Linked DNA regions of Anolis sagrei. Each later gene encodes a partner of the first gene's protein in a complex. Links are inferred from orthologs where the notes say so. Each region holds a gene or a part of one and is shown in the gene's direction. Other genes may lie near its edges.

The links. Proteins that work in one complex are often made in the same cells at the same time.
Region 2: the proteins of BMP10 (region 1) and ACVRL1 are in contact, whole or in part, in a crystal structure (PDB 6SF1), measured with the Homo sapiens proteins. The link is inferred for Anolis sagrei from reciprocal best matches to the Homo sapiens genes BMP10 and ACVRL1. Residues at the interface, in NP_055297.1 of Homo sapiens: Tyr322, Asn357, Tyr358, Pro359, Ala361, Glu362, His363, Pro366, Thr367, Lys368, Ile371, Leu375, Leu378, Lys379, Ser381, Lys386; in NP_000011.2 of Homo sapiens: His40, Val54, Val56, Arg57, Glu58, Glu59, His66, Gly70, Asn71, Leu72, His73, Glu75, Leu76, Phe84, Val85, His87.

The regions. Positions count from the first base shown.
Region 1 is NC_090027.1:20,129,058-20,136,663, reverse strand, and holds the start of BMP10 (bone morphogenetic protein 10), read left to right. Parts: upstream 1-4,597; 5' UTR 4,598-4,691; coding exon 4,692-4,986; intron 4,987-7,606. UniProt on the Homo sapiens protein: Required for maintaining the proliferative activity of embryonic cardiomyocytes by preventing premature activation of the negative cell cycle regulator CDKN1C/p57KIP and maintaining the required expression levels of cardiogenic factors such as MEF2C and NKX2-5.
Region 2 is NC_090022.1:139,386,711-139,394,288, reverse strand, and holds the start of ACVRL1 (serine/threonine-protein kinase receptor R3), read left to right. Parts: upstream 1-4,572; 5' UTR 4,573-5,090; intron 5,091-7,578. UniProt on the Homo sapiens protein: Type I receptor for TGF-beta family ligands BMP9/GDF2 and BMP10 and important regulator of normal blood vessel development. On ligand binding, forms a receptor complex consisting of two type II and two type I transmembrane serine/threonine kinases.

The DNA.
Region 1 (7,606 bases):
TCAAACCTGCGACCTTTCGGTCAACAAGCTCAGCAGCTCAGCACTTTAACCCACTGTGCATAGTGTTAATATATGGCTTTGGTATGGCATAGGGAAGGGTAAACACCCCTGTTGCCTGTATCTCTGTTCAGAAGATTTCACCCCACTTTCTATCCCTGTTATTATTGGATTTTGCAAAATGTGGCTTGTTGTGAAAACAAGTATTGGGGACAAAGCTTGAGCAGAGACCCTTTCCCCCCTGATACCAACTCTCCCAGGAGTGGATTTCCCTTCCTTTCAAGAGGAAGATTCCTCTCACTTCCTATTGTCTCAACCTCCTAAATAGGAGTTGGATGTGTTTATAACTATATCTCTATATATATCATAGATTTGGAAGGGGTCCCCAAAGGCCATCCAACCCAGTTCTCTTCTTAACTGTGAGTCATTTGTAAATTGGATGTCTGTAACTTGGGAACTGCATATATATAGGTCTCTATATGTATATATTAGGCTTGGGCAATCCATGGTTCTAAATGGTTCTAAAGTACTTACAAAACTAAAGTTCTGGTGGTGAAAATTTCAGAACTCTAACAAAACTTTCAAAATTTAATTATTATTTCATTATTGGTGATTTTAATGACAGAACCAATTAGGAACTGCCATTTATTATGAAATTTTGAGAGTTTTGTTAGAGTTCTGAAATTTTCACCACCAGAACTTTAGTCTTGTAAGTACTTTAGAACCATTTAGAACCATGGATTGCCCAAGCCTAGTATATATATGTGAGATCTAGTATAATGGCGCTCCTTGCAGTCATGCTGGCTACATGACCTTGGAGGTGTTTATGGACAACGCCGGCTCTTCGGCTTAGAAATAGAGATGAGCACCACACCCCAGAGTCGGACACGACTGGACTGAATGTCAGGGGAAAACCTTTACCTTTACCTATAGTATCCTAGATGTGGAAGGGCCCCCCAAAAACCATCCAGGCCACCCCTGTGCTTAACTGTAATTTAGAAGCTGGATGTTTGTAACTCCTCCTCCTCAATATGACATCCTTTCAGATATTTAAACATGGATCTCATGTTCCTTCTGAACCTTCTTTCCTCCAAGAAAAACATCCCAAACTTCTTCAGCCATTTTTCAGAGGGATTATTGGTTTCCAGAACTTTGAACTTTTGGGGAGCCCTTCTCTGGACACCTTCTTTCTTGTACATCTCCTTAGAATCATAGAATCCTAGTGTTGGAAGAGACTTCCAAGGGCCATCTAGTCCAACCCCCTTCTTTCTGTCCTGCAGGAAAAGCACAAAGTATCCCCGATAGACTGCCACCCAGCCTCTGTTTAAAAGCTTCCAAGGAATGAGCTTACACCAGATTCTGAGGCAGAAAGTTCAACTGCTGAACAGCTTGTACGTTCAGAAAGTTCTTACTCATGTTCAGGTAGAATCTCCTTCATTTGTCATTTGAACCCATGGCTCCGCGTCCTAGTCTCCAGGGCAGCAGAAATGAAGACTGTTTCCTCTTCCTTATGACAGCCTTTCACATATTTAGACATGGCTGTCATTCCTCCTCCACTCAACCTTCTCTTCTGCAGGATAAACAAACCCAGCTCTTTAAGATGCTCCTCAGACGGATTATTAATGGTCTCCAGACCTTTGATCCTTTGGGTCTCCCTCTTCCTCTGGACATCTTCCAGCTTGGAATCATGGTGTCCAGAATTGGACACAGTATTCCAGGTGAAGCCTGACCAAAGCCAAATAGAGAGGCACCAGGACTTCCCTCGATCTAGACCAGTGGTTCTCAACCTTCCTAATGCCACGACCCCTGAATACAGTTCCTCATGTTGTGGTGACCCCCAACCATAACATTATTTTCGTTGCTACCCCATAACTGTAATTTTGCTACTGTTATGAATCGGCATGCAAATATCTGATATGCAGCATGTATTTTCATTCACTGCACCAAATATGCCACAAATACCCGATATGCCCAAATTTGAATACTGGTGGGGCTGATTTTGTCATTTGGGAGTTGTAATTACTGAGATTTATAGTTCATCTACAATCAAAGAGCATTCTGAATTCCGCCAATGATGACATTGAACCAAACTTGGCACACAGAATTCCCATGACCAACGGAAAATACTGGAAGGATTTGATGGGCACTGGCCTTGAGTTTGGGAGTTGTAGTTCACCTACCTCCAGAAACTCAAACAATGATGGATCTGGACCTAACTTGGCATGAATATTCAATATGCCCAAATGTAAACACTAGTGGAGTTTGGGGAAAATAGACCTTGACATTTGGGAGTTGGAGTTGTTGGGATTTATAGTTCACTTACAATCACATAGCATTCTGAACTCCGCCAATGATGAAATTGAACCAAACTTGGCACACAGAACTCCCATGACCAACAGAAAATACTGTTTTCTGATGGTCTTTGGCGACCCCTCTGACACCCCCTCGCGACCCCCACAGGGGTCCCGACCCCCAGGTTGAGAACCACTGATCTAGACACTAGATTGGCCTTTGAGCTGCTGCATCATACTCGTGGCTCATGTTCTATTTGCTTCCCACGAAGACTCCAAGATCTTTTTCACATGGACTGTTGTTGAGCCAGGCATCTCTCATTCTGTATCTTTGCATTTCATTGTTCCCTGCCTAAGTGTAGCATCTTACATTGCTCCTTGTTGACATTCATTGTGTTTCTTTTGGTCAATCAGCTCTCATCTGTTGAGGTCCTTTTGCATCCTGACTCTGTCCTCTGGAGTATTCGCTCTCCCTCCTAATTTAGTCCCAGCTGCTAGCTTGATACGAAGCAGGCCCTCTAAACCTTCATCCAAGCCATTAATAAAGACGTTGAAGAATATTGGGCCCAGGACCAAACTCTCAGGCACTCCTTCTTCAATTGCTTTGTCCAGAATGGGACATAGGGCTGTCATTCCAGGTGAGGAGATCTTCCCAAAGCAGAAGAGAGAGACTAGGAGTTTCCTCGATGTGGATTATTTATTTATCGTGTCATCCGCAACCAGAACATTGTATTACATTTCTAACAGAACAAAACAAACAAACAAACAGATGAAAAAAACCCCCCACAAATTTTGCAAACTTGGTAGCTGATTAAATGTCCTTTGACCAGTATCTGACCACTTGGAGTGCCTCTGGCGTTGCCACAAGAAGGTCCTCCATTGTGCATGTGGCAGGGCTCAGGGTGCATTGCAGCAGGTGGTCAGTGGTTTGCTCTTCTCCACACTTGCACGTCGTGAATTCAACTTTGTAGCCCCATTTCTTAATATTGGCTCTGCATCTTGTGGTGCCAGAGCACAGTCTGTTCAGCGCCTTCCAAGTCGCCCAGTCTTCTGTGTGCCCAGGGGGGAGTCTCTCATCTGGTATCACCCACGGATTGAGGTGCTGGGTTTGGGCCTGCCACTTTTGGACTCTCGCTTGCGGAGGTGTTCCAGCGAGTGTCTCTGTAGATCTAAGAAAACTATTTCTTGATTTAAGTCATTGACGTGCTGGCTGATACCCAAACAAGGGATGAGCTGGAGATGTCTCTGCCTTGGTCCTTTCACTATCGGCTGCAACTTCCTGGCGGATGTCAGGTGGTGCAATACCGGCTAAGCAGTGTAATTTCTCCAGTGGTGTAGGGCACAGACACCCTGTGATAATGCGGCATGTCTCATTAAGAGCCACATCCACTGTTTTAGTGTGGTGAGATGTGTTCCACACTGGGCATGCATACTCAGCAGCAGAGTAGCATAGCGCAAGGGCAGATGTCTTCACTGTATCTGGTTGTGATCCCCAGGTTGTGCCAGTCAGCTTTCGTATGATATTGTTTCTAGCATCCACTTTTTGTTTGATGTTCAGGCAGTGATTCTTGTAGGTCAGAGAACGGTCCAGAGTGACTCCCAGGTATTTAGGTGCGCTGCAATGCTCCAGTGGGATTCAATGCAACGCTTCCAGTGGGACATGAGAGAAGCCTCCTCGCAGGATTGCAAGACATCCGGGCGTCCCCTGGGCAATGTCTTCATAGACGGCTGATTCTCTCGATCCAGAAGCAACCAGAGAAACCAGAGATGTGGATGCTAGGCTCCTATGGATGCAGCCTGGAATGGCATTGGTCATTGCCACATCACACTGTTGACTCATGCTCAGGCTGTGGTCTCCAAAGATCCTTAGATTCCTTTCACACGGAAGGTTCTTCAGCCAGGTGTCCCTCATCCTATATCTATGCAGAACCGGATGCAGGATTGAGCCGTTGCCATTTGAGCACATTAATTCTCCAGTGCAGATGCCCCCTTAGAAACAGTCCTCAGAGAAAACAGAAGTAGAGGAAGGGAGGGTATGTCCTTCCGCACAAGACGAGGGGAAAAAGTTGGCCAACTCTTCCATCGCATCCCAACGAGGAATGTTTACACCATGCTCATTAAGAGAGCGGCGCATTTGTGAGATAGAGACCGAAATCTGGTGGACAGCTTACACTGGGGGAGATAAGGCAGCGAAGGCGACCATTGGAGACCAGATCCAATTACTGAGACCTGGACGAAAGGGGGTGGGATTGGAAGGAGAGGCGTTCGCATGACAAGCGCCTGGGCAAGAGCTTCCAGACTTGTCCACGGCTAGTGACAAGCACCATATATATCTCTATCTCTATCCATTGTGCTGGGACGACCATATATATCTCTCTCTATCTGTTGTGCTGGGACGCAACCATGAGAAAGGCAACTATGAGGCTGGTGGCCTTGCAAATGTGGGCCGTCATGCTGCTCCGCATTGGAGACGGAGGTCCCATCCGAGACCTGGATGCGCCGGAGGATGTGGCCTTCTTTGACGAGCAGGACCCCATTCTGCAGAACCTATTGAAGGCCCTCAACATCTCTGAGGTCCCTGTCCAAGAACCGGCCAAAGTGGAGCCTCCCGAATACATGCTGGAGCTCTTCCACCGCTTCACCCTTGACAAGAGTTCTATGCCCTCCGCCAACATTGTCCGCAGCTTCAAGAACGAAGGTAAGGCCCGGGACGCTCTCCTTGAGACCTTAGAGATTGCTTGGCCGGACATTGCCTTACTTTTGGGAGCTTCTTGGGTGGAAAGAAGGAAAATGCATGAATGGCTTAGAAGAAGGTTTAAAGAGCATGCTTCTTATCAAGTTTGGAACCAAATTGGGATGGAGAGCTCATATTGCAGAAGACAGGGTCTGGATGCAAAATGACCTTCACACGACTATTGTTCCTGGGTTACCAGTGTCATTTCCTAATTGGTTCCATCATCAAAACATGGAAATGCAGCACATTATATATTATTACTAGCTATCCCCTGCCACACGTTGTTGTGGTCCAGTCTAGTGATCTGAAAAATAAAGTAATGGTTTCTAATATATGTAATTCCTTTATACTTGTGAGTAAACTATTCCTTGTTGTTTCTTTGTCAGTGTTGATGTGGAGATTGTCTGGTTTGCCTACTCTGGAACATGCAACATATAATTATCCTTCTTTAGGGGCCCCTTTCAAATCTATGATACTATATCTGTGTTTGTGTGTATGTGTGTGAATCATCATATATCTATCTTTATCTATGGCTGGATAGCTCTTTATCAGGAGGGCTTTGATTACGTTTTCTTGCCCTAGTGAAAGGAGTTGGACTGGATGGTCTTAAGTATGGTGGTTCTGTGTGGGACTTTTGCCCCAATTCTGTCGTTGGTGGGGTTCAGCATGCTCTTTGATTGTAGGTGAACTATAAATCCCAGTAACTAGAACTCCCAAATGTCAGGGTCTATTTCCCCCAAACTCCATCTGTATTCATATTTGGGCATATGGAATATTCGTGCCAAGTTTGGTCCAGATCTATCATTGTTTGAGTCCAAAGTGTTCTCTGGATGTAGGTAAACTACAACTCCCAAGCTCAAGGTCAATGCTCACCAAACCCTTCTAGTATTTTCTGTTGGTCAGGGGAGTTCTGTGTCCCAAGATTGGTTCAATTCCATCATTGGTGGAGTTCAGAAAGCTCTATGATTGTAGGTGAACTATAACTATAAATCCCAGCAACTACAACTCCGAAATGACAAAATCATTTTTTTAGTGAAGGACATATATTGAGTTGTTAGATGTCTTGTGTCCAAATTTGGTGTCAATTTGTCCAAACATTAAATTTTTATTTATATAGATTGTATATTTTTATTAATAATAATACTATATAATATCGTATATTATTATTGTATAATAATAATAATAACACTATGTAAGACGACAATCTAATTTGTTAGATCATAAAACATGGGAAATATTTACTAAACTGCAAAAAGTTTGTGCGGGAGAGAGATCGTCCTGCAGCACATTTCACCCTAGTTTTTCAATGAATATTTCATCGAGTCTAAGCCAATTAGTCTGTGGCAAAACAAAGTTTCTGGAGTAGAACAACTACTTTCAAAGAAATTGATTATATGGCAGTATAGACTCATAGAATCAAAGAGTTGGAAGAGACCTCATGGACCATCCAGTCCAACCCCCTGCCAAGAAGCAGGAATATTGCATTCAAATCACCCCTGACAGATGGTCATCCAGCCTCTGTTTAAAAGCTTCCAAAGAAGGAGCCTCCACCACACTCTGGGGCAGAGAGTTCCACTGCTGAATGGCTCTCACAGTCAGGAAATTCTTCCTCGTGTTCAGATGGAATCTCCTCTCTTGTAATTTGAAGCCATTGTTCCGCGTCCTAGTCTCCGAGGAAGCAGAAAACAAGCTTGCTCCATCCTCCCTGTGGCTTCCTCTCACATATTTATACATGGCTATCATATCTCCTCTCACCCTTCTCTTCTTCAGGCTAAACATGCCCAGTTCCTTAAGCCGCTCCTCATAGGGCTTGTTCTCCAGACCCTTGAACATTTTAGTTGCCCTCCTCTGGACACATTCCAGCTTGTCAATATCTCTCTTGAATTGAGGTGCCCAAAATTGGACACAATATTCCAGGTGTGGTCTAACCAAAGCGGAATAGAGGGGTAGCATGACTTCCCTAGATCTAGACACTATGCTCCTGTTGATGCAGGCCAAAATCCCACTGGCTTTTTTTGGCGCCACATCACATTGTTGGCTCATGTTTAACTTGTTGTCCACGAGGACTCCGAGATCTTTTTCACACGTACTGCTCTCAAGCCAGGCATTGTCCCCCATTCTGTATCTTTGCATTTTGTTTTTCCTACCAAAGTGGAGTATCTTGCATTTGTCACTGCCGAACTTCATTTTGTTAGTTTTGACCCATCTCTCCAATCTGTCAAGATCATTTTGAATCCTGCTCCTGTCCTCTGGAGTATTGGCTATCCCTCCCAATTTGGTGTCATCTGCAAACTTGATGATCATGCCTTCTATAGACTCATTGATATGAGTATAGACTCATATCAATCCATTTCGAAGCAGGTAATATGGATTATCTGCTTTGATAATCTGAATTACATGGCAGTGTATAAAGCGGTCTTAGTGGAGAACCAGTTGAACATGAGCCAGCAATGGGATGCAGCAGCTCCAAAAGTCAATGGGATTTTGGGTTGCATCCAAGGAGTCTCTTCTATCTCACAGAAGAATAGATTTGGAAGAGACCCCCATGGACCATCTAGTCTGACTTTCTTCCATGCAGGGAAAG
Region 2 (7,578 bases), on another chromosome or scaffold:
ACAAACAGGTACTTTAAGGCTTTCTTAATAGTCTATTGGCTCTCTCGATCTTGTCCACAGGGAACAGGCACTATCTTCATAAACTGTATTTCAACTAATGGGGAAATCCTTAACCTCTAATCTAGGCAGTCTGTCTTCGCCTCTGTTGGTGTGGAGCCCCTACACCCGGTACCAACTGCTTCTGGCTTCCACAAGTGACCCTTACCAAGCAGAGCTTTGTAGACTTCCAGGGGGAAAGGAGTTCAGGTTTCTGTGATGGCTGGCTGAAGTCCTTCAGCAAAGGAGCTGTAGGGCTGTATAACCCTGGCCAAGCTGTGAGCTGTATATCTCCCCGGCCAAGCCGTAGAAGACGAAGCTTTCTACAGGAGCTCTTGGTATTGTGTCCTGCATGAAAGGCTTCTCTGTGTAGACTGAACTCAAAATGGCTCCTATTCCCTCTAAAACCCAAAAAGGGGGCGGAACCAGGGAACCTAACTATAATTGACAGGTGGCTTGCCCTATGATTGCAGCCAAAAGAAGCCACCTATCTGCAGAGTTCCTGAAACTTGGGACTATAACAAACATTAAATGCGAAGCAAACAAAATTGGAGCTCTTGGTGCAGTTGTACCTGCACATTTGCTACTTTCATTGCTACTTTCATTGCCTATATGTCTATAGGACATATTGTATAAGCTAGTTATTTGGGTTCCAGTCCTATATGTCCTATAGTATTTAAGTGCTTCAAGATAACATCCAAATCTTGCATTGTATAAGCTAGTTATTTGGGTTCCAGTCCTATATGTCCTAAAGACATATAGCACTGGAATCCAAATAACTAGCTTATACAATGCAAGATTTGGATGTTACCTTGAAGCACTTAAATACTATTTTTATAGCACAGGTTTGGTGTGCAATGGTCTGCTTCAACAGATGTAACTCATCTACAAAAATCATAACAGAGGCCCATCTACACCAACACTAAAATTCTGCTTGAAGTCAGCTCAAGTTTAGTGTGCTCAGAAAACAATCTCCAGAGCAGTGTTATCTTTTTTAAAAAAACTCACCAGAAATCCTGGATCAAGCTAGAAAATCTGCTGAATTCCTTCTGTGTATAAACAATGCAAAAGAAGAAGCCAGACGGCAAATGCAGGGATTCTCATGTAAACAGGAGTAAGAAAGCATTCACAATAAAAAAGCAGCTGTAAAGCCCAGCTGGAAAATAAATCTCTCTCCCACCCACCCCGCTAAGGAAAGCCCAGCGTTCCCATAGGAATGCCTGATTTTACTGCCCTGCCTTGCTGAGTTGTGAGGCAAGTGCTTCTGAGAAGTTGTTTGTCTCTTAGGGGAGGTAAAAAACATATTCCTGGATTTCAATTGAGCCAATCAATCTGGAGCAGAATGTGATGAAGAAATCCTGTGGATTTGTGTGGACTCACTTGCATATACCAGCCAGTTCCTGTGGTGCCTATGTCGGCACTCTGGAGTGAACTGGATTTCTATCATTCTCATTCTGCTCCTGATTAATTGCCTATGTAGAAGTACCCTATGTTAGTTCTCAAAATAGTTTTTGCAAACTGTTATTAGGGTATCTGTCTTGTTCAGAATGGATATGATAAAAATTAGTTTGAGGAAGGAACACATTTTGAGACACTGCATATTGGCAGAGGTTTCTAGTGAAGGCCAATGGGTCCCATGTCAATGGGGCAGTGAATTTGCTTCACATTTTAATCCAGATTTTGAAGGACCTATCCAAAGTAAACCCTAGTTCATACCCTTAGGCATCTTGGATTGCTGTTTTAAAGTTCAGACTCAGCCCCAGGACAGATTTACCACCACCACTGATATGGAAGCCACCAGTTCTCCCTGGATTTTGATATTAATGATGCTGAAGAAAGAGGACTTGCATGTAATAAGCAAAAATATGCCCCCTCTCTATGCTGAAAAAAGAAGAACACATCAAATGTAACCTAGGTTTTTCTTTTCTTTTTCTCCCCTTGAATGAAGAGAAAGTTGCAAGGGATTATATTATATCTTGCATTTCTATCACATGGTTGTCAAAAGCATAGGAACCCCACTAGTGGGACTCTCACACTAAAAGGGGCATTATGAAGTGTCAGTATATGGAAAACGCATAGGGGAACAGGAAGGTCCAGCCAGGAGGTGTGAATTAGGAATTCCTACCTACTGAATCACAGCTTTAGGGTAGTGCTTAACAGGTTACAGAATATTGTTGTGAATGCATTACTTATAGGGGTGACATGGGCATAATGTGTTTGTTTTTTTTTGTGAGGTACCATTGCAACCTTACTCCTATTTTTATCTCATTAGAGTTTTTTTTAACATTTTATCCTGTACATGTGGCCTGCCCACTGTTACTGCAATTGTGTTTATTGTAATGTTATTTTGTTACTGTATGCATATGTGTTTTTTTAATGTAATTTTGATGATTTTGCTTGTTGTTTTTGGTTTTATTTTGCTGTAACATGTTGTCTGGGCTTGGCCCCATGTAAGCTGCTCCGAATCCCCATTGGGGAGATGGTGGCGGGGTATAAACAAAGTTGATTATTATTATTATTATTACTATTACTATTATTATTATTATTATATCAGAGATATTTTGAGTTTGAGATTTTGAAATGCCTGTATATGCATATATGTACATAATGAGATGGGACAAAAATCTAAAGATGAAACTAATTTATGTTTCAGAGGCACCTTATACATATAGCCTGGAGGTAACTTCATATAATATTTTGAATAATTTTGTGGATGACACCAAGTTTGGGCACACTGAAGCATCACAAAGCCAAAGCATCCTTATCTCAGACAGGCACATGGACAATTTTAGATTTCAGAATTCAAGATAAGGTATGCTCAACTTGTACTTGTTTGGAGGAATTATATTGAAGAATTAGGACATTTTTCTATTTTTAAGTGTGTTGTTATGAAATGATGATGTTGGTGGTGGTGATGCAATATGTTAATGACAGGCTGCTAATGCACAATTCTTCCAGTAATGAGTAATATATTGACTTTTAAAAATATGACTAATGTGTTACTTTTTAAAAGCTAGATAGAATTTATTCTATTATCTTTTTACATTATGCCTTGCCTCTCTTTCATTGGTGTGGGCAGGTGCAAAATGACCTTAATTGTATCATGCTGTAGGGAGTCCTTGAGATAGGTTTTAACCCACATTCAGTTTTAGACCCATAGTCTCCAGAAATTTCTACGTTTCTCCCAATCTCTAGGAGAAGATAGATTTCAGGGTCAGCAGCACTGGTAGAAGATAATGTTTATATTTCTGTGTAACGTGGTGTTACAGCTTAGGAACTCATCTCTAATGGGTCCTACCTGACTCCAGAGCTCACTGGCTTGATGTTGCTTATTTGTTCAGTCGTTTCCAACTCTTTGTGACCTCATGGACCAGCCCATGCTAGAACTTCCTGTCGGACATGGCCACCCCCAGCTCCTTCAAAGTCAAGCCAGTCACTCCAAGGATGCCATCCGTCCATCTTGCCCTTGGTCGCCCCCTCTTCCTTTTTCCTTTCATTATCCCCAGCATCGTTGTCTTCTCTAAGCTTTCCTATCTTCTCATTACTTCACCTTTGCCTCTACTTTTTTGTATGTGCGTGGTGTGGTGATTTTAGCATTGGATTATAACTCTGGAAAACAGAATCCAATTCCTGCCCAGCCATGAAACCTTCTGTGTGACCTTGGGCAAATCATACACTCTCAGCCCTGGAAAACCCAGTGACGTATGGCCTTAGGGTCACTATAAATTAGAAACAGCTTGCTGACACACAACAACACAACTGTACTTATGCAATGTCAGTACACTGAAACATTCCCGGTCTACTTGGCATTTCCTCAAGAACTTGTTTTGTCTTTACTTATTTGCCTTCATATTTTAAAATATTTTGTGCACATCTCCAGCTTTGAATATCTGTAATCCCACTGGTACCTCCCACCATGTTTTTCAGCAGCTCTGTTTTGGTCCCAGTCCTGTTGGTACTCACCATCTGTGTTCAACATTGGAGAAGATGCTGCTGCTGCTGACAGCTTAAGTGTATTCTGGTCTTCAACAGAACGGCCAGTCTCACTTAAGCACAGGAACCAAACAAGGGCTGAGCTCAAAATGTTGCAAGACAGCACAAAATAACTGTTACTTTGCAAGCTTCACAAACTTTACTGGGTCAAGAAGCCCACTGATAGCAGCTTACCTAAAGGTAAACCTTAGAAAAGTTACTTTGAGGACCACCCAAAAATATTTTCTCAAAGGGAAGCAGAAAACCTAGCAGGGTTTTGACAGGTCACTGTTCTTCTAGTTATCAGACAGGATAACGTTTTACTGTTTTGGACAGATAAAGTAGTGATTAGTTTGGTTAACTAACACATAGCTTTGGATTAGTCCATTCAGATTTGAAAATGAAGGCGGCAGCAGGGAAGGATGGGAGGAAGGAAACCCAGAAAGGTGAGGCAATAGGGAGACCATAGAGAACAATTGCACAGGGCCCTGCTGTGCTTGGGAGGAAGAGTGTGTTGTGTGTGCGCATATAGATCTACGCTCCGCAATAGGAAATGCTTTATTAGCTGGGAGTGGTGGAGAAAAGCCAGGCAGGAAGAGGCAGTAATAAGAAACATTTTTAACTTCTCCCACATCCAGAGCTTGCCAAACCGCTGCTTTCAGCAAGAGGGAAAGAGCAGGGGGGCTGGAAAGAGGATCCTGTCTCCCCCCACAACCCAGCCTTACACACTCCCAGCTGCCTTCAACTCTGTGGCTTCCTTGAAACGGACTTCACTGGAGCTCAGCTTCAGCCCCAATCTGGGGGCACTGTTCTTACTGAAGTGAAAATCCAGGAGGACTGGAACCGTTGGAAAGGAAACCCATGAATCCATCTCAGGCCATGCATCTAAGACCCATGAAGAGATGCCCAGTGTGACTTCAGTCAACAACTTTCCCAGAAAATAAAAACCCATCTCGGACTCTGGTACCAAAGAAAATGCTTTCATCTGAGGAATTCTCAGCCAAGGCCTGCTGAAAGGAGATAGACGGCAGGATACGGTTTAAAGCCCAAGTTTGCTCCGTTCTGTCTACAAAGACTCCCGGGTAAGTTAGAATTAATGTGTGTCTCTCTTGATTCGTTCCATATTTATTTGAAGACATTCAAGAGAACATCTCTCGGGCAAAAGCGGGGGATAAATGTGACATTTTTAATATCAAAATTTTAGGCCTCAGGCTTTTTATAGCATGGAGAAACTATTTAAATCCTGTATGTCCATTACTCCTGGGCAAAATAATTACAATAGCAATGATGAAAGAGAAAGGAAGTACATTAGAGTCTTGATTATCCAACCTTTGCTCATCCAAAGTTCTACATTATCCAACACAGCCTGCCTCCCTCCCGGATCCACAGACATTGCGATGTTTTGCTGCTAAATTCGTAAATACAGTAATTACTACGTAACATTACCATATATAGAACTGCTTTTTCTGTCGAACTGTTGTAAAACATGATGTTTTGGTGTTTAATTTGTAAAATCATAACATAATTTGGTGTGTAATAGGCTTTTCTTTAATCCCTCCTTATTATCTAACGTTTTCACTTAACCAAAATTCTGCCGGCCCATTTATGTTGAATAAGCAAGATTCTATTGTAGCAAAGAATAATGCAGTTATTAATTTTGTTTTTATGCTATGCATTTTCAGCACTGCAAGAACTATTCCATGATATCATCAGGGATTTGCATTACACAATACACAATGTTACATATAATGTCTTCTTTCACAAATCTGTTGTGGACATGGCCCACTAGGGCCCCTTCCACATGGCTGACAAAAATCCCACATTATCTGCTTTGAACTGGAATATTATTTATTTACAGTATTTATATACCGCTTTTCTCACCCCCGGGGGGAATCAAAGCGGTTTACACAAAAATAACGCAAAATTCAATGCCTTATATATATAAACCAAAACTCAATCAACAACATATAACTAGCATAAAATCAATATATGGCAGTATGGACTCAGAAAACCCAGTTCAAAGAATATATTGTGGGATTTTATGATTGTAAGCCGTCCTGAGTCCCCCTTCGATGGTTGAGAAAAATAATGCAGCCTTATTTCTCTGGGTTATATGGCTGTGTGGAAGGGCCCTAAGTTAGCATGTGGCCCTGCAAGGCTCTTTCTGTGACCCTTGGCTTCAGACAGCAGTTTTTCTCACAAAATTAAAAGGGGTGTTGATGTGTGTCTTCTAACGCCTTCATAGATTTTGGTAACATTGCATTTTAAAATATACATTTTTAAAATACTAGTTTTTCAAAATAAGTGATAGACTTCTCACTACACCTGGTTTGGGTTTTATTCTTTGCATGTATGGCCCACAGACACACTCAAGAGCAGAAAAATGACCTTCAGTCTGCCTAAGTTTCCCTCCTCTGACCTAAAGAAAAGTCCTGCCCCTCAATATCCAGCAGGTCTGTGCAAGAGCTAGCAGGCTTCTGCTAGATTTTAAGGGAGCACTTATCAAGAGATAAAGGCCAGAATCTTCTTGGTGACATACACTGCTATAACATTATTATTATTATTATTATTATTATTATTATTATTATTATTATTATTATTTCTAAATCGCCCTCTCTCCCCAGAGGGACTCAGGGAGGTTTACATATATATATATAAAGGCAAACATTAAATGCCATAATTAAATCACACAATATCAAAAGATGAAAAATAAACATTATCAGACTTATTGCAACAAGAGAATTCAGATTAAAACAAGAGATACAAATACTGAGGGAAACATAATTATATCAATAAAACATAATTGCACTAAGCATATACCCTAAACAGTTAAAACGACCAAACTGAAAAATGTGGCAAGCATCAGTTGTACTTTAAAGTAGACTGTAGCAGCCATAAAGTGCTGGTTGTGATAGTCCTTCTCCTCTCTGTAGAGAGGAAGGTGGAGGCCATTTTTATTTCTTTAGGGAGGGAGTTCCAGGGATGGGGAGCGATCACAGAAAAGGCCCCCTCTCTTGTTTCCACCAACAGCGCTTATGACGGGATGGGACCGAGAGCAGGGCCTCCTCCACTGACCGAAGTGTATGAAGGGTCTATATTTGGGAGATGCAGTTAGACAAATAGCCTGGAGCCAAACTGTTTAGGGCATTATAGGTAACAACCAGCTCTTTGTATTTATCTCAGAAGCAGACCAGCAGCCAATGGAGATGCCATAACATGGGACTGATTCTCTCCCTGTACAGAGCCCCAGTTAGTAACCTGGATGCTGATCTCTGGACTAGTTGAAGCTTCTGAACTATCTTCAAAGACAGCCCCACATAGAGAGCATTGCAGTAGTCCAGGCAGTATATAACTAAGGCATGGACTACCATGATCAACCTGGATTTATGCCAATGTATATTATTTTGGGGAGTCAATGTAGTATAGTGGTTTGAGCATTGGACTATGACTCTGGAGATCAGGCTTTGAGTCCAGACTTGACAACTGGAAATCCATTGGATGGCCTTGGGCAAGTCACACACTCTCAACTTCAGAGGAAGACAATGGCAAACCTGAGATAAAATCAGGTTT